Linked DNA regions of Bombyx mori. The protein of the gene in region 2 binds, or shares a complex with, the protein of the main gene of each other region. Links are inferred from orthologs where the notes say so. Each region holds a gene or a part of one and is shown on either strand. Other genes may lie near its edges.

Region 1 (3,040 bases), on a different chromosome or scaffold from region 2:
AATTACGAAATGTATATCTTGATAAAAACAACTCTCTCAGTAATGACTGGCTTCTGGTTATTAAGTTTATCAAAAATATTGAATAAACACGGTAGTGTATTTTCTATGGCAACTGGTTTTAAATTGATCAATTAATCAACATAACAACATACCAAAGAGTTTAGAAATACGACGATATCAACGTACCCTAGAGTGTACTTTGTAAGTACTCTAAGTTGATATGTAACTGTGAGCATAGAAAATACACTTAATTAAAATACCTGTGAGCTTAAGATAAGTGGATGAGGAGAACCGCAGACCGGGCTCAGTGGTGTGGATTGGGAGAGGCTTATGTCCAGCAGTGGACGACTGTGGGCTGTTGATGATGATGATGATGATGATGATGAGCTTAAGATTCCATGATAGATGCAGCTGATCTAGCGTGGTTGTAATTATGTATATCTCACGGGTTTTTTTTTATTGCTTTGGTGGGTGGACGAGCTCACAGCCCACCTGGTGTTAAGTGGTTACTGGAGCCCATAGACATCCACAACGTAAATGCGCCACCCACCTTGAGATATAGTAAGTTCTAAGGTCTCAAGTTTAGTTACAACGGCTGCCCCACCCTTCAAACCGAAACGCATTACTGCTTCACGGCAGAAATAGGCAGGGTGGTGGTCCCCACCCGCGCGGACTCACAAGAGGTCCTGCCACCAGTAATTACGCAAAATATAATTTTGCGGGGTTCATTTTTATTACACGATGTTATTCCTTCACCGTGGAAGTCAATCGTGAACATTTGTTTAGTATGTATTTCATTAGAAAAATTGGTACCCTCCTGAGATTCGAACACCGGTGCATCGCTCAACACGAATGCACTGGACGTCCTATCCGTTAGACCACGACGACTTCTATCCTTCCTTTACCTTTTTTTACTTTTTATTTTATCTTTTATTAACCTCTTTGCTTTAATAACTTTGTTGCGTGAGCTGTAGAAGTGTAGTTAATAGTTAATTTTGTTAACTTACTGTTTTTTTGTTTGTTGAAACGTGCTATTAATGAAAAATTGTAACCGTTTAGTATCTCTAAAAGTCCACAAGTATAGGAAAATGTGACAACACAGCTGTACTCAACTGTTTTGGTCAGCATTATCGGCAAACGAGTATCTGTCCCACTTAATAATAAGTGGCGATCGTCTCTGATGAACGTCAACGTCAGAAGCATAGACTAAGACTAATTCCACTGCCGGGGCTCTTCCCAAGCTTCGTTAAAAGATGAAAGCTTATTTCAAAACCAGATGATATGTAAACAGATCTAAGAACTTACTGTGAAAGATGCAGTGAAAGAAATAATAAAAAAAACTGTGCACAACCTTTGGTGTTTAGATTTCAACGTTAAGTATTGTATCTATGGTTTAGATACGCCGTGTCTGCAGTAATCTGCACTGCAATTTATGTATTGTCTATGAATACTCTTTGTTTTGGGCTGCTACGTGATATCAATATTAGCTGAATTAGAATATAAACTTTAGAGTCTATACGATTTCAACAAGCATCTTGCCTTTAAAGTAAGTGTGTATATTTTATTAGAAACGTTTTATTTATTTTATAACCATTTAATTTTACATTAATGACATTACTAACTCGAACTATAACCTTAAAATAATTTACAGAATAAAATGGGTGAAAGATACAACATTCACAGTCAACTTGAACATCTACAGAGCAAATATATAGGCACAGGCCACGCCGACACTACAAAATATGAATGGCTTATGAACCAACATCGCGACTCTTGCTGCAGTTACATGGGTCATCCGGATTTGTTGAGTTACTTTGCGATCGTAGAAAATGAATCTAAAGCGCGCGTAAAATTCAATTTGATGGAACGAATGCTTCAACCATGCGGCCCACCGCCAGAAAAGCCTGAAGATTAAACGCTTCGATTTTAAAAATAGAATTAAGCTAATTTACTTATTATTTGACTTTGAATCCCTTATCATGACATAAATTCGAGCAGTTTGTTTTCATTTCTATAACCTTTAACAAACACAATTAGTCTATTCAAATAGTACCACCAAAAACTCAACTATTATCAATAAAAACTACAAATTTTAATAACAGGTATAGTTTATAGTTTAGAATTGGTTCAATGGTCAAATGTTTGACAATCTTATTTTTATATACAAACTTGTTTCATATTGTTTTATCTCAAAGAAATCAGTTTTGATTTCCATTTAGCCTTATATATATACAGTCAAAATCTGTTATAACGACATCGAAGGGACTGCTCATATTCAGTCGTAAAAACCGATAGTCGTAACAACCGGTAATGTTTAATGTGTATCGTGCAAGTACAAACAAATCGATAGGGAATTATTGGAAAAATATATTTACAAAATACGTGATTTTTCTTCAATATTAATTTGTTTTCTTTTTCTTTGCGACATTTTCAAAGTTTCACGAATAACTCCACAAAGTTTTGGTGCGTTTTATGTATAGATAAGTAATAAACTAACTGAAGAGATATGAAGAAGCGGTCTTTGACTCTACTGCATGCACGTGTTTTGTTTCTAAGAATTAGAAAAGACCCTACACTAAACTAAATCCTATTGTTTTCTTTCCTGATTTTAATAGCCATTGAAGACAAATGTGGATACCTATTCAAATTGTTTACAATATAGCTTAGCCGGTCGTTCTAACAGATCTAATTCTCCAAAATATTAGTTAAATGTGGTCGTTTTATGAGGTATGTCGTTATTACCAATGTCGTAGAAAGCAATATTTTTAATAAGGCGGTCATATGGCATTCAGCCGGGACCTTTGTTCTAGGTTGTTATAACCGGCATGTTGTTCTAAACGATGTCGCAGTAAACGGTTTTGACTGTAGTTTAAATATAAAGTAATTTAAGAGATTCTTTAAATAACCTGGGAGTATTTTAATCATGCATATGCTTATTAAAATATTGAAAGCTTCTTTTTGATATTTTTATTATGTATGTCTAAAATTGTTAAATAGGTTACATTACAATGAACCACCAAAACTGTAAAATTTAGGAAAT
Region 2 (4,681 bases):
CTGCCCAAGACCGATGTAAATGGAAAAATTTGATTCAAGCCCTACACCCCAGCAGAGGGTAGTAGGAAGGAATGATGATGATGATGAAAAAGTATACTGAGTCTTATTAAGCGATTAATTTAAGCGACAATAATTTGAATGTTCTCTTTTCAAATATAAATAAATTTAAACAATAATTTTTTGTTAGAGTGAAAACACCGACAGAAATCTTCGATAACAATAAACTGTATTACGTTCCGTTTTAAACAGTGACCAGTATAGCTAACTATAAAAGAACAGTTTCGCAGTATATTAAATTGACGTCACATCTTACAATGCTGGCAGTGCTTATCGGAGCATAGCTGTAGTGTGGCTGCTTATGGCGTTGTTCTTGAAATCTTTCCGCTTTTCTTTGTGGGTGACGCATTTACGTTGTAAATGTTTTTTTTTTATGATTGAAAGATTACTGGTGGCCCGGAGGCCTTTCCAGCTTCACCAGGACAGGTGGGCGAGCAAAGGCTCAGCCAGGAGGGGTGGGATTTGCTAACAGCTACCCGAGCGCCTCCGAAGGAGACCTAACAACTCGAGAGCAATTGCTTCGCGAATGAATCTACTACCGGATCGGAATCGCGACCCACTGAGAAGATCCGGTGAGAAACTCAGCGAGCTGATGCATGGGTTAGGTTGCACGTCGACCTCTTTGTCGAGTTCGACGAGTACGGTTACCGGGGTTCCTCAGCCTGCTCCTAGTGTTAGAGCTGAAGGTATCTAATGTAAGAGTTATTGGATCTGATGGATCCGTAAGGACATGTCTAGGGCGACGACGGTGACTTGCTCCTGCGTGATCAGGATTCGGGGAGTAATCAGCGGCGGCAACGATAAGGCGATTATCATGACGTGTCTATGGGCTCCGACGACACGAGAACCCTCTCAACGTGGCCGCCGATAACTACATTGCCGATCTTGCGGACCAAATGGTAAACATTCGACGTCACCCAAAATACGTCATCTCGGATCCTCCTGATCCACTAACGGTGCTTTTAGGTACCCCAAGCACCGGTCATCGTTCTCGTCAAGCCCCTCGCTTGCGACGAAGGACTGGGTGAATAAATTAACCCACAGACACAGCCCACTGAGTTTGTCGCCAGATCTTTTCGGTGGGTCGTGTTTCCGATCCGGTGGTAGATTCTGCGCAGCACTGCTCTTGCTAGGGTTCGTGTTAGCAACATCGTCAGGTTTGAGCAACGTGAGCTCACCTACTAGCCTGGTGACGCTGATATGATCTCTCTAGAACATCAGCTTAGGTAGGAAAAAAAAATCTTTGCTGCAAACATTAGGATTATCCATTAAATTAGCACCTAACAGCGCCGAGAGTGGATAATCTAAAAAAGTTAACTGAATTTGTCCAAATACATAAACACCATTTTACTGATATTATATTTCATCTCATATCATTTCGTTTCATTTAATGTCATCTCAAATCTCAATTGATTAATGTCGCAAAAACAACTTCATTTAAATTTTTTTAAACAATACTTTACTTTATTAGGCCGTATAGTATGATACCTTCACCTTTTCAGTTGGAAAACGGAGTTACTACTACTCTACTACTACTGACATGACAGTAAAATAAAAATGTCAAAACAAAATGGCTGTTTTATTAAGGTCAAGCTGGATTTTACTTAGTGCACGTTCTACTTTTTCATCGAAATAAATTTCATGATTTTACACATAATATTGAAAATGAATAGTTTTAATAATATTGAGTTCTAGATACAGTATTAAATTCTTTTATAAAAAGTTCAATTGTAGTCTAGTAGTGTCAAAACAAAAATCATAAGAATGGAGAAGACTAACACCAAGCAGAAGAAAGATAAATACGAGGAAGATGATGAAAGGCGTAGGTCGAAAAGGTCGAGACGGGCTAGATCTAGATCTAAGTCACTTGAGGAACAGCAGAATAGGGAGTATAGAAGTAAACGCCGGCGTTCCAAATCACGCTCACCTCATTACAAGGCTAGGGAAGATAAACGAGTTAAAGACACACAAAAAGAGCCAGAAACAAAAAAAGATGCCTCTACAAAGCCAGAAAGACGCGCAAAAGATACTGATATGTTGAATACTAGAACAGGAGGTGCATACATTCCACCAGCAAGACTGAGGATGATGCAAGCGCAGATCACGGATAAGTCCTCGATAGCTTACCAAAGACTTGCCTGGGAAGCTCTCAAAAAGTCAATTCACGGTCACATCAACAAAATTAATGTCGGTAACATAGGTATCATTATAAAGGAATTATTGAAAGAAAACATTGTCAGAGGTCGAGGTTTGTTATGCCGTTCTGTTATTCAAGCCCAGGCAGCCTCGCCAACATTCACTAATGTATACGCGGCTCTAGTATCAGCAGTCAATTCACGTTTTCCTAATATCGGGGAGTTGTTACTGAAAAGATTAGTGATTCAATTCAAAAGAGGTTTTAAACGCAATGATAAGTCAATTTGCATTTCCTCTGCATCTTTCATTGCACATTTAGTGAATCAGAGAGTGGCACATGAAATTCTGGCTTTAGAACTTCTCACTTTACTAGTTGAATCACCAACAGATGATTCAGTTGAAGTTGCCATAGCATTCTTAAAGGAATGTGGCCAAAAATTGACTGAAGTATCATCTAAAGGTGTAAATGCAATTTTCGAGATGCTAAGGAACATTTTGCACGAAGGTCAGTTAGACAAAAGAGTTCAGTACATGATAGAAGTAATGTTCCAAGTTTGGAAGGATGGGTTCAAAGACCACCCGGCACTGATTGAAGAGTTGGAGCTCGTGCCTGAAGAAGAACAGTTCACACATCTATTGATGCTGGATGACGCTACAGATCCTCAAGATATCCTGAGTATGTTATATTCTATTAAACTATCCATAAAAAAATAAGCCATAAAACACTTAAGTAGATTATCTGTACAGTCTGTCAATTGAATTATTTGTTCCCCTAAGTTATTTAATAGCTATTGAGGGTATGCACAAGAGTTATTGTAACACTTAAAATGCTAAAAGTTTTGAGTGTATATAACACTCTAAACGAGTAAAGTTTTAATTTTTAATAGGATTAATCAAAAATTTTTATATATAGTTTACATAAAAATGCTTTTAGCTTATTTAAAAATGTAACTTAAACAATCTCAATTTTTTTTCATATACTTTTTGCTTTAAGTTTTAAGATAGTAGTACTCTGTGTTAGTGAATTCAATATCCATTATTTTAGCCTATTTTTATTTTCCATCGTATGTATTAACTCATTTATGCCCAACATTATTGAATGTTATAAACAATTTATCTTAATGCTCCATTTAAAACAAATGTAAAATAAGCAAATTAGTATAAAAGAATAAAAATAACAATTTTCCCAAATGCTTCAGATGTTTTCAAATTTGATGAAAAGTATGAAGAGAATGAACAGAAGTACAAGAATCTTTGCAAGGAAATACTTGGTTCTGATGCTGAGTCCGGTGATGAAGATGGTTCAGGAGAAAGCGGTAGTGAGGAATCTGATGAAGAAGATGAAGAACAACCAAAAAAAGAAATGACTATTATTGATAACACAGAAACAAACTTAGTGGCTCTGAGACGCACTATATACCTGACAATCAACTCCAGTTTAGATTTCGAAGAATGTGCTCATAAACTAATGAAGATGCAACTGAAACCAGGACAAGAAGTGGAACTATGCCACATGTTCTTAGACTGCTGTGCTGAGCAGAGAACATATGAGAAATTCTATGGCTTATTGGCCCAAAGGTTTTGCAACATCAACAGAATATACATCGGACCTTTCGAGGAAATTTTCAAAGATTCATATTCAACAGCACACAGGTTGGACACGAATAGACTCAGAAATGTCAGCAAGTTTTTCGCCCATCTGCTGTTTACAGATTCCATTAGTTGGGAATCTTTGGAATGTGTTAAATTGAACGAAGAAGACACAACTAGTTCTAGTCGGATATACATAAAGATTCTGTTTCAAGAACTGGCTGAATACATGGGACTAAAGAAACTGAATGACCGTCTACAAGATCCGTTCGTATTACTTTGTTTTGATGTTTTTTTAGTTTTATAATAATAAATAAACCCTCAATTTCAAATGGAAATATGACAAATGACAGTGGAAACTCTTTGAAAGGATAGCTCAGGGCACAGACAAGCGATTATATATTGCTGAGAGCAATGACAGTTGTTATGAGAGGTTCACAATAATGAATGTTGATTTTAACTACAATTGCTACATTGCTATGCTCATGGGTGTGATTTAATACTAGCTTTACCCTTTCTTTTGAGTTAGGAGATGGTTTCGGAACCAGTGAACAAAGTTTACGGCTTACCAAAAACTATCTTTATGGTTTAATCTTGCGAACTTTATTACTAGCGAACTGCCCTCGCTTTGCTTCGGAAACATTAAATTTTATTATTGATAGCTGAGCCCCGCGATGTTAACCGCGGTTATTGTCGTACCGCGGATGAAGCCGCGAGGCGAAGCTAGTCTAAAAAAAGTAACATAAGTTACTCCTTATATCATCAGCTACCTATCAGTAAAAGTCCCTGCAAAATCGGTCCAACCGTCCCAGAGATAAGCTGGAACAAACATACAGACAAAAATTGTAAAAAATGTTATTTTTACCGTATATATTCATATGAATGTAGTAAAAAGAGG
Region 3 (4,161 bases), on a different chromosome or scaffold from region 2:
GGAGACAAGAAATTATCTGAAATTAAATTTCAGAGGAAGGAAAAGGTGTTTACTTGTCGGAATTTGAAAGATGTTTTTCCAAAGTCTCTATTGTGGGGGCCCTCCTCTAAATCTGGTCCAGAGGTCAAACTTCTCATTTCTGGACATTAAATAATATGGTATTGAAAATAAATGAGGTACATCTAAATGTAAGGCAATTAAGGCAGACAATTTTAATGATAGATTTATACCTATGTATAGACGTAGTTGAGAATATTAGATAAAAAAAATGGAATCAGAATCACAACTTTGCGGTTTTTTTCCTGACTGAACTTTTAAGCAGCTCGAGATTCAAGGGTTCTGAGATTAAACCGGTTAGTTTCAATTCTAAAGGGCCTTTTTCGGTCAAAACAAGAAGCGGAAAATAAAAAAATAAAAATGATGAAGATTGTAATTCATTTAAAGCTTATTTTCTATGTTTTTTATAATTCGGTGAACGATCCCTGTCTCTTTTCTTCTTTTTTCCCTTCCTCTTCTTATCGATATCTCGTTTGCCGTCCGGTGTAGCGCTACCTTTATTCTTTTTATATTCATCTTCAGAATCCACGCTTCTTTCACGCTTTTTCTTGTCTTTCTTCCTCCGCCTCCTCTCATCCTCTGATTGAGAACTTAAAGATTCGTTGCTGCTGTATCTTTTTTTGTGCTTCTTTTTCTTCTGAGATCTCTCTTCACCGGTGCTTGACGAGTCTCTCCTATGTCTATCCTCTTTTCTATTTTTACCATTTGACCAATCTTCTCTTTCACGCCTGTCGGTATGTTCATACTTTTCTTTCTTCGTTTCTCTTTTAGGTGAACTCTCTATATCTTTTTCTTTTGACGATTGAGGAACTTTTTCATCTTTCTTGTATTTTTCGTACTTGTCTGCATCTATAAATATTTACATTTTTTTATATTTACTAAGTGTATTGCTCTTGCAAAAAAAAAACAAATTTACATGTGAATGGTCCAAGTATTGTACCTTACAGGCCCCTCCGCGGAGAAAATACATTTAAATTAAACTTCACATTGTGAGAGAGTTCTTCAATAGAACCTGTGAAAAAAATCGTAATTAGGTTACAATACTTGGACATTTAGCCGATTATTGTAACTCAATTGAAAAATAAATGTAGAACTTATAATATATATAGATGAATCAGACCAAGCACAATTTATATATACAATTGTGATTTGAGTGTCATGACAAGACAATACTAGCCTAACAGGTGGTCACAACAGACTTCAACACTTTTATATTGTGTAATGAAACTAAATTCCCAAAATTTATAAAATTCCTTCCTTCTACAAAGTATTTTATTTTTTATTGCTTAGATTGGTGGACGAGCTCACTGCTCACCTGATGTTAGGTGATTACCAGACCCCATAGACATCTACAACGTAAATGCCGCCACCCACCTTGAGACATGAGTTCTATGGTCTCAGTATAGATACAACGGCTGCCACACCCTTCAAACCGAAACGCATTACTGCTTCACGGCAGAAATAGGCGGGGTGGTTACCTACCCGCGCGGACTCACAAGAGGTCCTACCACCAGTATTTACGCATTCTGGTTTACAGTTTGGTTATAGGCGTTCTTCAATGGTGACTTTGGTCTTATATCTTAAGATGACTGCTTTCACGCTGTGAAGCACTGCAACTTATTAAAACCAGACGGTTTATAAGCTTCACGGCTGTTTTAAACAAAATTTGTTTACATAATTTGTAACACACAAAATATTGTGTAACACACAATTTGTTGTTCACAAAATATTGTGAACAGATGGACCTGATTTTTTTTAATTGCCTTTGTAGACAGGCGTGCATTAGACCCACCTGATGATGAGTAATTACCGTCGCCCATGGACGTCAGCAATGCCAGGGGCAGAGCCAAACCACTACCTACCGTTAAGTATTCTTCACAAGTAGTAAATAGTCAAATTAGAAAGGAATATGGTGGCCTATAAAAAGTTTATAGTTGTCTAAGACTGACCAGATAAGGGCTACAAGAAATTGCTTCCTGCACATAAGGCACCAGACACAGGTAACTGACAGAAGTGTCACCGGATAAAACCCATCACTAAACACACAACGGTCACGACCATTCTGCCAAGAGATCAGAGACAAGGAGGACAGATGTAAATGAAAAAAAATTAAGTACTTATAACTTTGGATTCCTTGTCGAATTCGGACTTTGTGACCGGATGCATCATGAACTCGCTTAGATTGACAGTTTCATTTTTCATCACTATATTGACCATAGCTCTGCCGTTGTCTTCATCGAGGCTAAGCACCTGAAATGTTTTTGAAAATTGTATGACAAAAGGTGAGGTATCTTTATACATATCCTATAGGAGTTAGCATAGGAAACTAACGGCCGTCCGGTGTAGTGGTAAGTGACATGGTCACTACACAAGGGGGTCGCGGGTTCGAATCCCGCCAAGGGAAGATATTTGTATGGTAAATATAAATGTATTTTCCAGGGTTATGGATGTATATTAAATATATGTATGTGTATAATAAAAAATCTTACATTTATTTCCGTTATATGGACTTAACTCCGTTAACTTGTAACACAAGTTCTTTACGAACTTATCACCAGTTAACGTGGCGTGATTGTCAGTAAATATTTATATTTATTTATTTAACTCATTTTTTTGCCTTTGTAGGTCAATTTTTTGCCTGCCAGTTATTGGTCACAGTCACTCAAGGACATCAGCAACGCCAGTACTATAGCTAAGCAGCTGCCTACCGCAAATGACTTTCCTTAAAACTTTTTTTGAAGAATGTCATGTCGTAGCAATTAGAAACACAGTGGAGGGGACTTTATTCCAGAGTAATATGAGCCAGAAGGTACATGGCAAAAAGATCTCTGAAACAATCTGCTCCAGTCGCGAGCGGTGCAATGGTAAAAAGATGAAATGTGTGCTCGGAGTGCTCCTTATTATAACTAGTCAGGTCATAAGTATTGTCACACAGTAAAAACTTTTCTTTTAGAATGCTGGCCACAAAAAAGTTTATTGAATTCGAATTTCGAATTGTTCATGAAAATAAAAATGTATACTTTTAGAATTTTACTCATTTTTAAATATGGAGTGGACGCTTAAAGAAGACCGTGTTGCAGTTATTGCGTTGCATCGTTGCGGTTACGCGCCAATTCAAATTTTTAACATACTGAAAAATTTGAATATAACCAAAAGATTCGTTTATCGTACCATCAAACGATACAATGAAGACTCTAGTGTCGATGACAGGTCAAGAAGTGGTCGCCCTCGGTCTGTTAGGACTCCAGCAGTGATAAAAGCTGTGAAGGCGCGAATTCAAAGAAATCCCAAACGTAAGTAGAAACTGTTGGCCCTTCAGATGGGGTTAAGCAGAACCACGGTGAAAAGGGTGTTAAATGAAGACTTAGGGCTTCGGGCATATCGAAGAAAAACAGGACATCGTTTGAATGCTCGTCTAATGGACCTGAGACTGAAGAGATGCCGCGCTTTGTTGAAGCGGTACGCGGGAAAAAAATATCGGGAAATTGTTTTTTCGGATGAAAAAATTTTTACCGTAGAAGAGAGCTACAACAAACAAAATGATAAGGTGTACGCACACAGTAGTGAAGAAGCGAGCAACCGTATTCCGCGTGTCCAACGAGGTCATTTTCCATCCTCGCTCTTGATATGGTTGGGAGTTTCTTAATGGGGATTAACAGAGGTACATTTTTGTGAGAAAGGTGTAAAAACGAATGCAGTTGTGTATCAAAATACAGTCCTGACGAACCTTGTGGAACCTGTTTCTCATACCATGTTCAATAACAGGCACTGGGTATTCCAACAAGATTCGGCGCCAGCTCATAGAGCGAAGAGCACACAAGACTGGCTGGCGGCGCGTGAAATCGACTTCATCCGGCACGAAGACTGGCCCTCCTCCAGTCCAGATTTGAATCCGTTAGATTACAAGATATGGCAACACTTGGAGGAAAAGGCGTGCTCAAAGCCTCATCCCAATTTGGAGTCACGCAAGACATCCTTGATTAAGGCAGCCGCCGATATTGACATGAACCTCGTTCGTGCTGCGATAGACGACTGGCCGCGCAGATTGAAGGCCTGTATTCAAAATCACGGAGGTCATTTTGAATAAACTTTAGTGTCATAAGA
Region 4 (3,325 bases), on a different chromosome or scaffold from region 2:
AAAAACAAGACCAAACAGGAGGAGTAAATTTCTTAACAGCAAATATTAAAATTAACACGAAAAAAAAAACACGTTACAAAATCATTTTGTGAACAAAGTCTTTTCTCGAAAAATATCAACGTGAACTTATAAGCGATATTAAAAAATTAAAATGCCATTTAGTTTTTTAAATAACTCAATGTGTTATTCATCAAAACCAAATGAATAAACGACAAAACAAACAAAAACAACAAAGCTTAACCGGCATTTTGTTTAGTGTTGCCATAAGGAAATTTACATTTTTCTATAGCTAGGTGCGTAATGCCAATTTAGCGCACTAATTAACGCGTTAAGACGCAGGAGTAGTAGTAGCATTACAGAAATGCAAAGAAAACTATATTATTAATAAAAATAAGTAAAGAGAACGTACGGTTTGTTTTCAAATTCAATGTTCACGTATTGATAAAAATTACTATGACTCTGTTAAACCAATTAGCTCGGTAACACTGTGTTGTGTCACAACTTCGGATCTCATCCCATATAAAAAAAATATGTATGGGAGATTCCACCCACTGCAAAATTCGATGGGTTGGAAATTCATCTAATATACAAAAATCCACGACAATAACATTAATTCCGTATTATAATATTTTAAAAAGCACATTACAATGTCAAAAGCACATCCACCAGAATTGAAAAAGTAAGTAATATTGGAAGTTTGTTTGTTTCACTCGCAAACAAAGCTGGCGTCCTTGTTATAACCTAAAATTAAAAGAACAGCGTAAATTCTTTAAAATCCCAAATTAGTCCGTAGAAATTCGCATATTTGATGTTTATACACAAAAAAGAATATGTACTTTAAATGGTGCTTTTATATATTTCAGATTCATGGACAAAAAATTGTCAATAAAGCTGAATGCGGGTCGCGCTGTTACCGGTGTGTTGCGCGGTTTTGATCCATTCATGAATTTAGTTCTTGATGAATCAGTCGAGGAGTGTAAAGACGGTCAGCGTAACAATGTTGGGATGGTGGTTAGTATATTTTCAAGAACACTCTAAAGATAGCTTTTGTCCGCGACACCGTCCGCGTGGAATAGTTACTTAGGCATAACGCTAAATTTTACCCCCCACTTCATTTACGTAGAAAGTGAAAGTATTTTTTAAATATAGAATGTTAAGGAGCTGTTTAAATCCCCTATTTTGAAACATTCTTTATTGGTGCTCCACTTGTATTGGTTTTACCGTGATGTTATATAGCCCATAGCCTTCCTCAATAAATAGGCTATCTAACACTGAAAGAATTTTTCAAATCGGACCAGTAGCTCCTGAGATTAATGCGTTCAAACAAACAAACTCTTCAGCTTTATAATATTAATGTAGTATAGATTATAATAGGGCAAGTTTGGTTATCAGAGCCGAAAAAGGTTGCCACTATTGGTGGCGCATTAAAAAAATTTAATACTTTGCATTTTATTTTTTACAGCAGAGAACTTTCACAAACATTTGTTGAATTCTGAAAGAGATTGTCGCTTAGATGTGTGGATGAGCTCACGGCCCACCTGGTGTAGGTGGTTACTGGAGCCCAATGACATCAACAACTTAAATGCCATCACTTAACTTGAAACATGAATTCTAAGTCTCAATTTTATAGTACAACAGGTGTCCTACCCTTCATACTAAAGCGCATAATTGCTTCACGGCAGAAGTAGACTGGGATATTGTATCTACATGTGCTCGCTAAAAAGATACTCTACCACCAGTAATTATGCAAATAATAATTTTTGGGGGTTTGATTTACATTACACAATTCATTCAGGGTGGAGATCATTCATAAATACTCATTAAGTATTGTCACTACAACAATTCTTGATGTTTGAAGTGTATTTAGTATAGATGAGTCGACTATTATCAAAGGCGGCAATGTGACTTTTGGACAATTATTGGTAAATCAGAGAAACGAATTATTGACTTTGTATTCTATTGGCAGTCACAAAACTCTTCTGAACGACATCTTAGATAAATAACAGGTTAAGTATTAACCTTTATTTAATGCAGGTTTTGAACCGTATTCTTTGAAGGAGACGATTATATTCAAATAAATCTGTATTGACATATCAATAACATTTTTTTGTCCAAATGCACAGATTGCCACCTTTGATAATAGACGACTCAGATAGTGTGTTTGATATTTAAAAAATAGTTGTAAGTTACATACAACTATTTTGTTTAGCTGTAAGCATTAGTTTTGCTGTGTCCTTCACATGGTATTTTAGAAATCACTACTATTGCTCAGCAGTAGCTCGTGATTTTTTATGACAAAAAATATTTGACTGTAAAGGAACTGAATAAAACAATTTAATCTTTCTTTCAGGTAATTCGTGGTAACAGTATTATAATGCTGGAATCTTTAGACAGACTTTAGTAGACTTAGAGTGGGCAAGAAATATCACCAATGCTGTAAATGTGCTTCACTTTTCATCAATAAATAAATATAAAACTCGGATCTAAAACTTAGTTTCTACAGCAACAGCAGCAACAGTAAAAGAAAAAAAAAGGAAAACTGATAATTTTATATCTAAACTTCACTATTTAAATTTAATGTGATGTTAGGTTAAGTTAATAAATAATAATGAAACACCTCAGATTTGTGTTTGTTTTGATCTATATATTCTACTAGCGACCCGCCCTCGCTTCGCTTCGGAAACATTAAAACACACATGAAACCAAAAAAAATAAAAAAAGTAGCCTATGTTCATCAGGGACAATGTCGGCTTCTAATGGAAAAAGAATTTTTCAAATCGGTCCAGTAGTTTCGGAGCCTATTCGAAACAAAGAAACAAACAAATCTTTCCTCTTTATAATATTAGTATAGATGAGTCTAGCTCTAGATCATGCAACTACTGCTGTTGGTCATTGTAGTAATGCAATTGGCACAGCTAAGTATCAAACTGAATATACCTTTGAAGAAATAAATTCCTACTCTAGAAGTTCTGGTGGGAAAAGCAGTATTTTGGTATTGTGCAGGTTTTTCAGGTGTTCACTTGTTAAGGCAAGTAAATCGATAGATGAGTCGTCTATTATCAAAGGCGGCAATCTGTACATTTGGACAAAAAATTTTTATTGATATGTCAATACAGATTTATTTGAATATAATCGTCTCCTTCAAAGAATACGGTTCAAAACCTGCATTAAATAAAGGTTAATAGTTAACCTGTTATTTATCTAAGATGTCATTCCGAAGAGTTTTGTGACTGCCAATGGAATACAAAGTCAATAATTCGTTTTTCTGATTTACCAATCATTGTCCAAAAGTCAGATTGCCGCCTTTGATAATAGTCGACTCAGA
Region 5 (4,946 bases), on a different chromosome or scaffold from region 2:
CATGGTACTTGATAGCGGGATTTGAACACCGTTGCATCGCTAGGTTCGAATGTACCAGACCTCTTATCCTTTAGGCCACAACGACTTAAAATGGTTTGAAGGGTGCCATAATAATTACACAATGCAAATAGAAATTTCAACCTCATGCACCAATATTGGTAGCGGCATTGAGGTTGTGATGTCCAAGAGCTCTAGTCACCACTTATCAGTTGGCCGTTTAGGTTTATCGACATGGTTTATTTAGAGGAGCATATAAAGACTCTAGATATCGATTCTCGATTTTTTCAACAAATCCATTAAATTCTCATTGCATTATTATTATAGCTTAGCCAACTAAGCCAACATATTTAAATCACCTCTTAGTGTCTATGGTCTTCCTGTTTAATTTAATTTCTTATTAAATACGTTACATTTGTTCCATTTCATTCTTCGTACAATATTTTCAGCCTTAGTTACAAAATATTTGCTGTATGGCCTAGTTACTTTTGTCTGTCCAATAAACGAACTAAACATTCTCTGTGGTTCGATGGCTTAGTTTACATATTACGTGTATTATCTGTGCTATTTATCATAGATACCTACCTACTTGGCTTAAAAAACTTTGTTTCGAAGCCACTAGAAATTTATAAAAAAAAATCTACCTACTACCTACATATCACTACTAAAGATGGGTTAATACCGATATTTGTCAATATTAGCGAATACGAATATATTCATGATGTAATATTATAATAACTTAACTAATGCGTGAATATATCCTGATATCTTAATATACTTCGATAAAACGGGTAAACGAGTTAACCGAGTACGGTATTCGTGAAATAAGTTAATAATCATAGATAATACACATAAATTAGTTATTAAATTAATATAAATAGTATACTGTATCTAGGAATTTGATTTCATACTAAATATTTTACAAGTAATATTATGTACATTAATATGAATATTATTATTAAACCAGAATTTGGTCAACATTGTACATTAATATAAACAACAAGTTAGTAATATTATTTATTTCTTATTGGTGCATAAAAACATCAGCTTTTTTACTTTTTCTACCGAATGACCGGTACGTCGCTCAGAAATGAGTATTCCAGATTTCGAAAAAATCCTCTGATACGGTACTGAGGTGGCTAGTAGGTACACAACAGTTATATTAATAGTATAATCCATGAACCGTTTGGTTAGAAAGTCATTTCGATTCAAAAATCAAACTTTTATTTATAGTTTGAGAAGTTCTTAGAAGATAATTAACTACTACCACAAAAATATATTGTCATCATAATTTATTACATATAAACATTTAATGAAAATAAAGCTCACCGATTTTATTCCAATAAATGTGGAAATGCACTATTTTGTCTTGAGTCGAATCTTTAGTACAAACATAAAAAGTAATGCATTTAAAAATTCCCACTGGCATCTTTGACATGTAAAAAGTGCAATACAAAATAGTCCTTAAACTCATAGCGAAATATAGTTATTTTCATTGCTCAGTATATAAACATGTAGATTATCTCACTTACTCTTAGCGCATGCAGTGCATTGATATGAATGTGATAAACAGATATCCGCGAGACACGTACGGCGTATGTCAGTATATTTTCGTGTGATAGATATTTCGCTAGGAGTAACAGTGTTCTGTGGATAGATACAACCCGACTGATGTGAGCTGGCTATTATTATGAATAAGTGAATACGGAATATTAGCATATCAGAATTCGACGGATTACCGATAGACGAATACAAGCTGTATTACGAATATCTTAGTGAATGCTAATATATCGGTATCACCCTTAACCACTACCTACCGTATTCACTTCTCTTAAAAATGTGTATAATCTATGCTTCTCATTTTGACAATAAATAAAAAAAAAACCTGAAGATTTCCTTTCCTGTACTTAGCTGTTTATTGTATGTAATCAAATTAAATTTAGGTTAAACTGAACTAAAAAATTATAAACTGTGCAGAACGTAGAACTTAACATGGACAGCAAGACAACAAAAATGCCGAAAGTGGCAAAGGTACGAAAAAAGTGTTTGATGGTATTGTTGAATAATATTACTCCAATTTTAACATGGATCTCACGATTTTTAGGTGAAGAATAAAGCACCAGCAGAAATCCAAATAACAGCTGAACAATTACTTAGGGAAGCCAAAGAACGAGACCTTGAGATATTACCACCGCCACCTAAACAGAAAATATCTGATCCTGAGGAACTTCGAGACTACCAACATCGTAAACGTAAAGCATTTGAGGACAACATAAGAAAGAACAGACTTGTAAGTAAATTCAATTTATTAGTCGCTTACAATGTATAAATGACTGTTTTTCCTATTAATGTAATTGTTTCTCAGTTTTAAGACCATCCAATGCTTAGTTTTACTAGCTGATAGAGTTCACCAAATTAATTTCATTAATTGATTTCGTGCCATTACGATCCTTTGAACAATATAGGTTTCATGCTGTTTCCACAATAAGAAGGGTACTAAACAATTTCTACTCAGAGCATTACTGACGAAAACCAGATGAGGATACTTTTATTTAGTAGTATTTCTTCAAGAAAACAACAAATAATATAATAATATCGAATTTTAGTTTAATGGATGCTTTGTTTTTGTTTTCAGGTTATTGGGAACTGGCTTAAATATGCACAATGGGAAGAATCACAAAAGCAAATCCAAAGAGCTCGTTCAATATATGAGCGTGCTTTGGATGTGGATCACAGAAATGTTACCTTATGGTGAGAGCTATCATTACAATTAACAATTTTATTTGAAAAATTATTAACTTATGTGCTCTTGGTACTGCCAGTGTTTAAACCATATGACTATTTTAAAAAATGTTTGAGAAATCTGTGGTGTTAATTTTTTTTTGCATTCTTGGCTCATCTGATAGTAATTGTTAGTCACACTACTGAGTACTCTTTGTAAGCCTCATTTGAACAAGGACATATTGTTGGATCACTCAAGACATGGGCTTTAGAACAAAATTCATGTCACAGTGAAGAAAAAAATTAATTCTTAAAGAGTTACCATACAAAGATCAGCTTATAATAGAACATATAAAAAAGATTCCTATGTCACTCTGTTCACATTACAATTTTATTTGGTTAGTAAACTTGTAGACAATTGTGGACGAAATGTTAAGATGTTTGATATACTTGTAATGACCAATACAACTATACTAGAGTTCATAGCCTTTGTGCTACCTAAAGCCCAATATATTTAAGGAAATACATACCCGATATGAAGAAATTTCATAAGTAAATAAGAACAAAGTGTCATTACAAAATTGATACTCTATTAATGTATTGTGAACTGGCATGTAATATATCATCCTGCCTATTTCAACAGTTATGCATTTGGTTTGAATTGTCCAACAGTTGTTTTATAAAGGAATTGAGACTTCAATCTCAAATTGATGCCTATTTAGTCCAAGAGCCACTTATTTAACAAATAAAACAATCTGTACTTTGAAAAATCTGTAAAAGTCATGGACTTTCTTGGTAAATTTCTTACAGTTTTAACTGTTAAATTTGCGTCACTCTTCAATTATCCACACTACCTTAACTACCTGTACTTTAGGCTGTTATACCACACCAAAATATTCTCAGCGTATCATGGGTTTTAGGCTGAAGTATACTGAAATGGAAATGAGGAACAGACAGGTAAACCATGCCCGTAATCTATGGGACAGAGCTGTTACAATTCTGCCAAGAGTATCTCAGTTTTGGTACAAATATACTTACATGGAGGAAATGTTGGAAAATGTAGCTGGAGCAAGACAGGTGATATTTTTTATACATGTACAATTTCTCGTATAATGATAATAGTCACTGACTGTAACTGAAACAAGGTTTCTAATTTACTTTTGTTTCACAGGTATTTGAACGTTGGATGGAATGGCATCCAGATGAGCAAGCTTGGCAAACATACATAAACTTTGAATTGAGGTACAAAGAACTTGAACGGGCTAGACAAATCTATGAACAGTTTGTTATGGTGCATCCAGATGTAAAGAATTGGATAAAATATGCAAAATTTGAAGAAAACCATGGTTTCATAAATGGCTCTAGGACAGTTTTTGAGAGAGCTGTTGAATTCTTTGGTGATGAAGAATTAGATGAAAGACTGTTTATAGCGTTTGCCAAATTTGAAGAAAATCAAAAAGAACATGACAGAGCAAGAGTGATTTACAAATATGCTCTGGATCATGTCCCAAAAGACAGAAATAAAGAACTTTATAAAGCTTATACTATTCATGAAAAGAAGTATGGTGATAGATCTGGCATTGAGGATGTAATAGTAAATAAGAGAAAGTATATGTATGAACAGGAAGTTATAGAGAATCCCACAAATTATGATGCATGGTTTGATTATATTAGATTAGTGGAGAATGAGGGTAATTTAGATGACATAAGAGACACATATGAGAGAGCAATTGCAAATATCCCTCCTTCAAAGGACAAACAATTTTGGAGGCGTTATATTTACTTGTGGATTAATTACGCTTTATATGAAGAGTTAGAAGCAGAAGATTTAGATCGAACAAGACAAGTTTACAGAACCTGTTTAGAATTAATTCCTCATAAGATATTTACTTTCTCAAAAATATGGCTCATGTATGCTCAGTTTGAAGTGAGATGTAAAGATTTAAAGCAAGCAAGAAAAACACTTGGTATGGCTCTGGGCATGTGCCCCAGAGATAAATTATACAGAGGTTATATAGACCTTGAGATACAGTTGAGAGAATTTGACAGATGTAGAATATTATACCAGAAATTCTTAGAGTATGGTCCAGAAAATTGTGTAACATGGATAAAGTTTGCAGAGTTAGAAACTCTGCTTGGAGATACAGATCGCGCAAGGGCTATTTATGAAATAGCTGTAGGTCAACAGAGATTAGATATGCCAGAATTGTTGTGGAAAAGCTATATCG
Region 6 (4,161 bases), on a different chromosome or scaffold from region 2:
TAATACGATTTTTTTCTTTTCCTGATCCCATCTATGTCGGATCCTAGTTCCCATGCCCAAAGAAAATGCAGATCAACTTGACTGGATTCCTAAATGGAAAGAACGCACGCCTTTTCATGGGAGAGTTATGGGAGCTGTTGCTGAGCGCGCAGGCCAGTGAAAACGGTATACCCGAATCATTTACTCAGCAGAAGAAAGAAGAAATAAAGAAGAGAATGGTATGCATTAACTTCAATATTGACTAACATTGAAGTAGCAAATTTCATAAATTTTATTAATTGTCCCATATAGTAAATATTTATTTGAGCATATAATCCAATACAGACAGTCATGTACTTTTGGATGATCAAAATGTATAATATCCACCACTTTACCATTATGAGAATAAGTAAGAAAATTAATACTTTGGTTGTAAAATGAAAACACATTACGTGAAATAGGAGGAGCAGCAGAACAAGGACAAAGACAAGGAGCGACGGAGATCGAGGTCCCGGTCGCGTTCCCGGCGCCGCTCTCGCGACCGACGGCGCTCGCGAACTCGTTCTCGTGATCGTTCCAGTGACAGAAAGTTAGTAGTAGACGTATATTTTCCAGGTAGCAGCATCCATTGCTGGTGGTAGTAGGGGTGGATTGCACATGGATACTTAATACTATGCTGCCCATTTAATAATACAAAACAATAGTGTGCTTAGTTGAATAGCGGATCCTCTGAAATTAAACGCTTAAAATCATTAACAGAGTAACAGTCGCCGTTTATCACTATGCCCACATAGTGATAAGGAGTAAGCATTTGGAATATATTTTTGAGAATGTAAAGGTTGTCTGTCATACATATATTAAATTAGTAAAATTCGAGTTAGTCTATTCATGGAGTAAAATAGAATATAAAAGGGGTTACTACTGAAGAGCAGTAGAATCACCATGTGACTATTTTCTGTTGGTTGTGCACATTCGGAATTACATTTATTTATCGCCAGTCAACTGATTAATTAGGAGTAGTAGTAGTATATATTGTTTTATTAAAATTGCGTGTTGCTAATTAGTTACGATAATTACAAATATTTTTTAAATTGTGTTCTTGTACTGTTAATTGTTAAATAGCAAAATATATTCGTATGTATAATTTAATAAGAAAAAAAACTGTCAAAATCATAATTTTAGTTTTAACCTGGGAAATGGTTAAAGAGCTACCATTGATCTATCTCATTGCTGAGTATGAGTCACCACCCCCAACGTGGTACAAAATCGTCGCCCAAAACACGTCATGTCGGATCATCCCGTTCTACTAACGGAGCTTTTAGGTACTTCAAGCACCTGTCATCGTCTAACCCGTCGCTTGCGACGAAGGGCTCGGCGAGTAAATTAACCCATAGACACAGCTCACTGGGTTTCTCGCCGGATCTTCTCAGCGGGTCGCGTTTCCGATCCGGTGATAGTTTCTGCGAAGCACTGCTCTTACTAGGGTTAGGTTTGAGACCCCGTGAGCTCACCTACTTGTTAAGGTTACGCTGGTCTCTGAAGGTCATCAGCTTAGACAGGAAAAAAAAGGTACGAAATGTGGAGCGTGTAGCTGAGGATGATAGCTAGTTAGACATAAGATAATGACCATTAAAATTACTCTAGGCATCGTAACGGCGGAAGTCCGCGTCGATCGAGACGGCGCAGCAGCCCGATCAGAGACAAGGTCAGCCCTGCGAAAACTGAACCGGAAACCAAAGGTACTGTTAATGTAGACGTAAATAAAAATACAATGATAGTGATAATGTTAACATAATAAACTTGTTGGTGTGTTGTTTTCACTTAAATATGATTGTATTGTAAGATTTTGCTTCTGTTATCGTTGCGAAGTAAAATGTCTACATTATCTTTTGTTAACTGGTTATGGGGCGTATTGTAAGCCCGCACGGGTAGATACCACCATTCGGTGTATTTGTGCGGCAAACTAGTCCTGCGTTTCAGTTTGAAGGGTTGGATTGATGTTATACAATGCAATTACTCTTGGCGACTCATATTTACTGTGTTCATATATTATAACGAAATTGTATATTATAACAAAATTGAGACTTTTTTTTTTTTTTTTTTTTTTTTTTTATTGCCTTTGTAGGCAGACGGGCATACGGCCCACCTGATGGTGAGTGGTTACCGTCGCCCATGGACTTCAGCAATGCCAGGGGCAGAGCCAAGCCGCTGCCTACCGCTTAATACTCTCCACAAGCCTCGTTTGAAGAAGGACATGTCATAGCGCTCGGGAAACACCGCGGAGGGGAGCTCATTCCATAGCCGGATGGTACGTGGCAAAAAAGATCTCTGGAAACGCACTGTGGATGACCGCAGCGGCTCCAGGTAGTATGGATGAACTCTACTCCGGTGGCGGGCGGTGCGATGGTAAAAACGAGATGCTGGTATCATCTCGAACAATTCCTCAGAGCACTCCCCATGGAACATACGGTATAAAATACAGAGGGAACCGAAGTCCCTCCGCAAACCCAGAGGCTCCAAACGAACCGAGAGAATGGGATTATCGACAATCCGAACGGCCCTCCTCTGTATGGAGTCAAATGGAAGAAGCTGGTATTTGGGAGCCCCGGCCCAGAGATGAGAGCAGTACTCCACGCGAGGCCGGACTTGTGCTTTATAAAGCAAAAGTCTTTGTCCAGGCGTGAAGTACCGCTTCGCTCTGTTGAGGACTCCCAGCATTTTGGACGCCAACTTGGCTTTGCCTTCCAAATGACTCCGAAACTGGACATCGCTCGAAATGTCGACCCCAAGTATCCCGATACTCTCGGAAGGTTGCAGGGATACTCCTTGGAATTGCGGCGCCATGACAAAGGGGTCCTTCTTCGCAGTGAACGCGCAAACTTGTGTCTTTATCGGGTTGAATTGAACCAAGTTCAATTCACCCCATTCGGAGACTCGCCCCAGAGAGTTCTCCACTTCAGACACAAGTTTTGATCGTCTCTCTTGCACCACGCTCCGAGAGAGACTCTGATGGCCGATATATCGCGCATCCCCCGTGCTATCATCTGCATAGCAATGCATGCCATCAATAGACAGCATGTCATTGATATACAGGATGAAAAGCGTGGGGGAGAGCACCGAACCTTGTGGAACGCCAGCGTTAATGGTCATGGTATCAGAACAGTCACCGTCTACAACGACCGTGATGCTCCGCCCATCCAAAAAGCTAGCGATCCACTTGCAGAGACCCTCGGGGATTCCGTAAGATGGTAACTTCGATAGAAGTGCCCTATGCCAGACCCTGTCGAAGGCCTTCGCGATATCAAGGCTCACAGCGAGAGCCTCGCCCTTGCTCTCCAAGGCTTCAGCCCACCTGTGAGTAAGGTATACAAGAAGATCGCCAGCTGAGCGACCGTGACGGAAACCGTACTGTCGGTCACTGATCAGCTGGCGATCTTCAAGATACTTCAGGAGTTGTGTATTTATAATTCGCTCCATCACCTTGGAAAGCAAGGAAGTTATCGCGATAGGCCTGTAGCTCGATGGGTCCGACCGGTCACCCTTCTTGGGGATAGGGTGGACATGAGCAGTCTTCCATGAAGACGGAACCTTGTTAGTGCAATAAGAGAGGCGATACAAACGCGTTAGCGCAGGTGTCAGCTCAGGGGCGCACGTTTTCAAAACCACTGCGGGGATGCCGTCTGGCCCACTCGACTTATGAACGTCCAGGAGTCGGAGCTCCCGCCTGACTGCACACTGTGTGAAGCAGATATCCGGCAGGGAGCTATCACACCAGGGGATGCTCGGTGGTGTGGCACCCCCGTCGTCCATAGTCGAGTTCGAGGCGAAGAGTTTGACCAGAAGGTCAGCCTTCTCTTTCGCGCTGTGGGCCAGATTGTCATCGGACTTGCGCAGTGGTGGGAGACTAGACCTGCAAAAGTTTCCTTCTGCAGCTTTGGCGAGCGACCAAAAAGCACGGCTCCCGGAGGGATAGCTCTTCAATCGCTCGCCAACTCTAGCAACGTGCTCCGACTTCGCCTTGGCAATTACCTTCTTGTAGGACCTGGAAGCGGCGTTATATTTCCGCCTTTCCCCTGAGATGTTAGGATCCCGACGTCTCCTGGCATTATCCCATGCCACGTATGCGGACCGCTTGAGGTGTGCAGCATCCCTGCTGGCATTGTTATACCAGGGTCTGCTGCG
Region 7 (4,637 bases), on a different chromosome or scaffold from region 2:
GAGCGACTCCAACCCGAGCATCACGACCACCAAGAGCCTACAACAATAACCGACGAACATCAATCTCAACCGATGTCCAAAGATGATGAAAAACCCTACAAAAATCAAAACGATGCACCAATTAAATCAGAAAGACCAATGGACGTAGAGCATAAAGAACAGACTTATCAAGAGGATGCGAATTTCATTGGACAGGAACAAAATTACGAAGCAACAGAAATGCAATACCAACCTGAATACCAAAATAATTACGAGGAGCCGACTTACGCAAACGAACAATATGAAAATTATGAACAATATCAGCAATATGCTGACCCCAACGCGCAATATAGCGAAGAACAATACAACAACATAGCCGAAGTCAACTACCAACCCGAGCAGAATTACGAACAAAGCTATGAGAACACAGCGGAGGCTCCACAAGAACAATATTACCCAGAGTCAAATGACACAAATCCAAGTGATGCTCCAACGAAAATGGCGGAGGAACATCAGAGTTAGCAATTCGTATGTTTTTATTTCTTGCAACATTCCGTTACAACGCTTTTGATAGAGTAACGTGCCACTAATATAGATTAGCTTTCGGCGTCGGATAAATAAACTATGAAAGTTGAATGTGTTGAATAATAAAATCTATTGAAATGTTTATCGAGAAACGAGTTAATAAATCGCTCAATACTTATATTGCAATTGGATATGATGTTTTATTTGATGTTTTTTTTATCTACAGGGAAAACGTGATTATTTTGTTTTTTTCTTCAACTTAAGCCCCATGATCTCGATTTTGTCTTGACGGTTTCTAAAACAATATACAAAGTACTTAAGGGTCAGGGTGCGCACAGAAGTCGTGTAGGACTATGCGATTTATAAGTGGCACGAGTTGGCTTCGAACCTATTTGGACTGCCAAGCAGTTCTTGTTTGCATGAGACCGACGTTACACTATTTAATTTGAAGAAAATACAGCACGAAACATTAAGGACTATTTGGCGGGCACTCAAGCTGTTACTTTTTAATTTAATGTCTCTTCAGGCTTAAAATTTACATATTAATCGATTAGAATTCGTAAAAGTACATTGAAATATTAACCGTAGTCTTAGTGAAAAATAGGCCGTGGCATAACGGGCCCTTCCAAAAAGTCCGTGGAAAATAGGAAGAATAAGTCCGTCTTAGTAAACCAACTGTCCACCCATTTGATTGCAAGGTATTTTCATCTCATCTAAGTCCTGACCGTCTTTTATATTAATTCATTGAATTTCATTTTCTTTATTCAATTTAATTCCAGAACCAATTCAATTTGTATTATGTATTGTTTTAGTTCCACTTTTAATACCACAGACACGGAACCGCACTTCGGTACAAGTTTTGACTGTATGGGCTTCATTCCTGTTGCCTATCCAAATGACAATTCAAAAGAAAACTATTAGTAACAACATCAACTTAAATAAATTTTATTTCTAACAAATATTAAGTGTATTAACTATGATTTCTTAATAAAACTAGCTGTTCACTAGCAGAGCATATTTTAATATTTGATAAGTAATATTTAATTAATATAACCTACATATTATTCAGTCAAAACAACAATTTAATAAAATTTCGTACTAATACAAGCTCGTTAGGTTAGTAAGAAACAGAACAAAAATGGTTTGTGAGAAGTGCGAAAAGAAATTGGGCAGAGTAATAACGCCGGACCCTTGGAAGGCTGGAGCTAGGAATACCGTGGAGTCCGGCGGACGTGTTGTTGGAGAAAACAAAGCATTAACCGCCAAAAAAGGACGATTTAATCCGTACACTTCCACATTTCAACAGTGCAAGTGAGTAATCCTGATGTTTAAAAACCAATTTTGCCTCATACATTCTTAATAATACTTCCCCAATTTTACCTCATACATTCTTAATAATACTTCCCCAATTTTAACTCATACATTCTTAATAATACTTCCCCAATTTTAACTCATACATTCTTAATAATACTTCTCCAATTTTAACTCATACATTCTTAATAGTACTTCCCCAATTTTGCCTCATACATTCTTAATAATACTTCCCCAATTTTACCTCATACATTCTTAATAATACTTCCCCAATTTTACCTCATACATTCTTAATAATACTTCCCCAATTTTAACTCATACATTCTTAATAATACTTCTCCAATTTTAACTCATACATTCTTAATAGTACTTCCCCAATTTTGCCTCATACATTCTTAATAATACTTCCCCAATTTTGCCTCATACATTCTTAATAATACTTCCCCAATTTTGCCTCATACATTCTTAATAATACTTCCCCAATTTTACCTCATACATTCTTAATAATACTTCCCCAATTTTAACTCATACATTCTTAATAATACTTCTCCAATTTTAACTCATACATTCTTAATAGTACTTCCCCAATTTTGCCTCATACATTCTTAATAATACTTCCCCAATTTTGCCTCATACATTCTTAATAATACTTCCCCAATTTTACCTCATACATTCTTAATAATACTTCCCCAATTTTAACTCATACATTCTTAATAATACTTCTCCAATTTTAACTCATACATTCTTAATAATACTTCCCCAATTTTGCCTCATATATTCATAATAATACTTCCTAATCCCGAACGCTTCAGACAAACACACTAAATACTGCTGGACTTTTAGTTACCAATATGTAAAATAACAATACAATAAAAGTTAGTTGTTACTTGTTTGAAGGATGTTTTTTATATTCATTATCCCTTCTTCTCTTGAGTGATTTATTTAGTACACTACATGGGTAGATTAATAGGGCCATAGATGATTGTAATGTGTACGTTGTTTTTATATGAAGAGATGCAGTTGAAGATTTATTCGAATTTAAAAATGGCTCTCCTTTGAAAATGGGACAAATTTATGGTTGCAATAACTAGGTTTGTGGAACCTATTTCAGTACATTACACCATACCACCTCCACCTCCTCGTGTCGTTTTCCTCATTACTGAACTCCCCCGCTGCATCAGTTTCTTCCGTACGATTTCCCTCCATCTGCTGCGATCCTTAGCTTCATGAAGGACATTGTGGAAGTTGATGTTCAGAGAAGATTGTATTTAGTCCGACCATCTCGTGGTACTGCATCCTCTTGGACGTTTGCCATCTTCCTTTCCTGTCAGCATCAGCTGTTCTAGATTGTGACCCTCTTTACGGGCAATATGTCCGAAGAATTCCAGCACCCAACGAAGGCATATATTGGAAAGACTAGTTATGATATTAAGCTCTCTCAGAATAGTCACGTTGGTGAGAAAGGCATTCCATGGAATCTGTAACGTTTTTCTCCAGCTCCACATTTCAAAGGCGTCTATTAGGTCTAACCATACCTCCAGTAAAATGTATTAAAAGTTTTTAAAATATATTCTTTTATTTTTCAGAATCTGCAGAACGAAAGTACACCAGGTCGGATCACATTACTGCCAAGCTTGTGCATACAAAAAGGGTATATGTGCCATGTGTGGAAAGAAGATTCTAGACACTAAGAATTACAGACAGAGCTCAACTTAGTTTATTGTTATGTTATCCTAGTTCATAAGAAACATTACCTAAATAAGTTCTAAAAGAAAAAATATAGTGTATTTGTAAAGCAATGCTTTATATGCCTTGGACTATTTTAAGATAATAATAAAGATACTGGAAATTTCCTCACGGATGGTAAAGTGTGATTGCTTCGAGGAATAAACAGATAGGATTGTAATGCCAACCTATGAACACCCACAATTAGCGGTACTACAGATAATCAAGACTTGAATCCAAGAAATCGGTTTCAAAAATGAAATGAGAATAATTCTAACACTCATGAATGATGACAAATTATAATGATTGTTACAAGTTGTCATCTGTCCTATCTATGTTCTAAATAATCTGAATAATTCTGAATATATGTTTATTTATTTATTTATAACTTTATATACTAAACGGTATAAAGGACTTAATGCCATAGGCATTCTCTAACAGTCTACCTTAGGGGGGTGCAGAGATGAACCTTGGTAGGTGTAGTGTGAAGGTGATATTACTTAAACATATGTGTATATGAGTCGTCTATTATCAAAGGTGGCAATCTGTGCATTTGGACAAAATATTTTTATTGATATGTCAATACAGATTGATTTGAATATAATCGTCTCCTTCAAAGAATACGGTTCAAAACCTTCACTAAATAAAGGTTAATAGTTAACCTGTTATTTATCTAAGATTTCGTTCCGAAGAGTTTTGTGACTGCCAATGGAATACAAAGTCAATAATTCGTTTTTCTGATTTACCAATCATTGTCCAAAAGTCAGATTGCCGGCTTTGATAATAGTCGACTCATATATGACATACATAATATTTATAGATACAAATACTCATACTTAAATAAATACATATACATAAAAATATATATAATTCTGTATATTCTGAATAATGAAACCATAAGACTGGCACAAACATTTCACTTGCCTTCCAATTTAAATCTACTCGGCTAATTAATACAGGGTGTACCAAAAACTAACAATAATTTTCTAAATGTCTTATTTTACTGGAATCGGTTTTTAAGGAACTGCCAGTTTTTTTCTACAATTCCAACATCACAGATTAAAGATCCAATGCGTTGGTTGTTATAGTTATTATGA

What was found.
Region 1: pre-mRNA-splicing factor CWC22 homolog (region 2) and splicing factor 3B subunit 5 share a complex: the UniProt entries of both Homo sapiens proteins name them as parts of the minor spliceosome. The link is inferred for Bombyx mori from reciprocal best matches to the Homo sapiens genes CWC22 and SF3B5.
Region 3: pre-mRNA-splicing factor CWC22 homolog (region 2) and G-patch domain and KOW motifs-containing protein share a complex: the UniProt entries of both Homo sapiens proteins name them as parts of the minor spliceosome. The link is inferred for Bombyx mori from reciprocal best matches to the Homo sapiens genes CWC22 and GPKOW.
Region 4: pre-mRNA-splicing factor CWC22 homolog (region 2) and small nuclear ribonucleoprotein G share a complex: the UniProt entries of both Homo sapiens proteins name them as parts of the minor spliceosome. The link is inferred for Bombyx mori from reciprocal best matches to the Homo sapiens genes CWC22 and SNRPG.
Region 5: pre-mRNA-splicing factor CWC22 homolog (region 2) and protein crooked neck share a complex: the UniProt entries of both Homo sapiens proteins name them as parts of the minor spliceosome. The link is inferred for Bombyx mori from reciprocal best matches to the Homo sapiens genes CWC22 and CRNKL1.
Region 6: pre-mRNA-splicing factor CWC22 homolog (region 2) and serine/arginine repetitive matrix protein 1 share a complex: the UniProt entries of both Homo sapiens proteins name them as parts of the minor spliceosome. The link is inferred for Bombyx mori from reciprocal best matches to the Homo sapiens genes CWC22 and SRRM1.
Region 7: pre-mRNA-splicing factor CWC22 homolog (region 2) and cysteine-rich PDZ-binding protein share a complex: the UniProt entries of both Homo sapiens proteins name them as parts of the minor spliceosome. The link is inferred for Bombyx mori from reciprocal best matches to the Homo sapiens genes CWC22 and CRIPT.

Annotation. Positions count from the first base shown.
Region 1 is NC_085126.1:5,965,184-5,968,223, reverse strand, and holds splicing factor 3B subunit 5, read left to right. Parts: upstream 1-1,386; 5' UTR 1,387-1,546; intron 1,547-1,651; 5' UTR 1,652-1,657; coding exon 1,658-1,915; 3' UTR 1,916-1,994; downstream 1,995-3,040. UniProt on the Homo sapiens protein: Component of the 17S U2 SnRNP complex of the spliceosome, a large ribonucleoprotein complex that removes introns from transcribed pre-mRNAs.
Region 2 is NC_085110.1:1,337,686-1,342,366, reverse strand, and holds the start of pre-mRNA-splicing factor CWC22 homolog, read left to right. Parts: upstream 1-1,592; 5' UTR 1,593-1,821; coding exon 1,822-2,869; intron 2,870-3,392; coding exon 3,393-4,050; intron 4,051-4,681. UniProt on the Homo sapiens protein: Required for pre-mRNA splicing as component of the spliceosome. As a component of the minor spliceosome, involved in the splicing of U12-type introns in pre-mRNAs. Promotes exon-junction complex (EJC) assembly.
Region 3 is NC_085127.1:6,320,248-6,324,408, forward strand, and holds the end of G-patch domain and KOW motifs-containing protein, read right to left. Parts: intron 2,308-4,161; coding exon 2,175-2,307; intron 1,070-2,174; coding exon of another isoform or gene 999-1,069; exon of another isoform or gene 998-998; intron 907-997; coding exon 446-906; 3' UTR 417-445; downstream 1-416. UniProt on the Homo sapiens protein: RNA-binding protein involved in pre-mRNA splicing. As a component of the minor spliceosome, involved in the splicing of U12-type introns in pre-mRNAs.
Region 4 is NC_085133.1:8,585,311-8,588,635, reverse strand, and holds the end of small nuclear ribonucleoprotein G, read left to right. Parts: exon of another isoform or gene 1-553; intron 554-558; exon of another isoform or gene 559-562; 5' UTR 563-647; coding exon 648-679; intron 680-863; coding exon 864-1,011; intron 1,012-2,350; coding exon 2,351-2,401; 3' UTR 2,402-2,621; downstream 2,622-3,325. UniProt on the Homo sapiens protein: Plays a role in pre-mRNA splicing as a core component of the spliceosomal U1, U2, U4 and U5 small nuclear ribonucleoproteins (snRNPs), the building blocks of the spliceosome.
Region 5 is NC_085124.1:5,696,531-5,701,476, forward strand, and holds the start of protein crooked neck, read left to right. Parts: upstream 1-1,826; 5' UTR 1,827-1,989; coding exon 1,990-2,028; intron 2,029-2,101; coding exon 2,102-2,287; intron 2,288-2,632; coding exon 2,633-2,748; intron 2,749-3,638; coding exon 3,639-3,795; intron 3,796-3,889; coding exon 3,890-4,946. UniProt on the Homo sapiens protein: Involved in pre-mRNA splicing process. As a component of the minor spliceosome, involved in the splicing of U12-type introns in pre-mRNAs.
Region 6 is NC_085128.1:8,257,624-8,261,784, forward strand, and holds part of serine/arginine repetitive matrix protein 1, read left to right. Parts: exon of another isoform or gene 1-47; coding exon 48-218; intron 219-440; coding exon 441-568; intron 569-1,623; coding exon 1,624-1,718; intron 1,719-4,161. UniProt on the Homo sapiens protein: Part of pre- and post-splicing multiprotein mRNP complexes. As a component of the minor spliceosome, involved in the splicing of U12-type introns in pre-mRNAs. Involved in numerous pre-mRNA processing events.
Region 7 is NC_085130.1:5,680,803-5,685,439, reverse strand, and holds cysteine-rich PDZ-binding protein, read left to right. Parts: upstream 1-1,380; 5' UTR 1,381-1,642; coding exon 1,643-1,815; intron 1,816-3,401; coding exon 3,402-3,531; 3' UTR 3,532-3,610; downstream 3,611-4,637. Other genes in the region: drebrin-like protein, read left to right, coding at 1-501. UniProt on the Homo sapiens protein: As a component of the minor spliceosome, involved in the splicing of U12-type introns in pre-mRNAs. Involved in the cytoskeletal anchoring of DLG4 in excitatory synapses.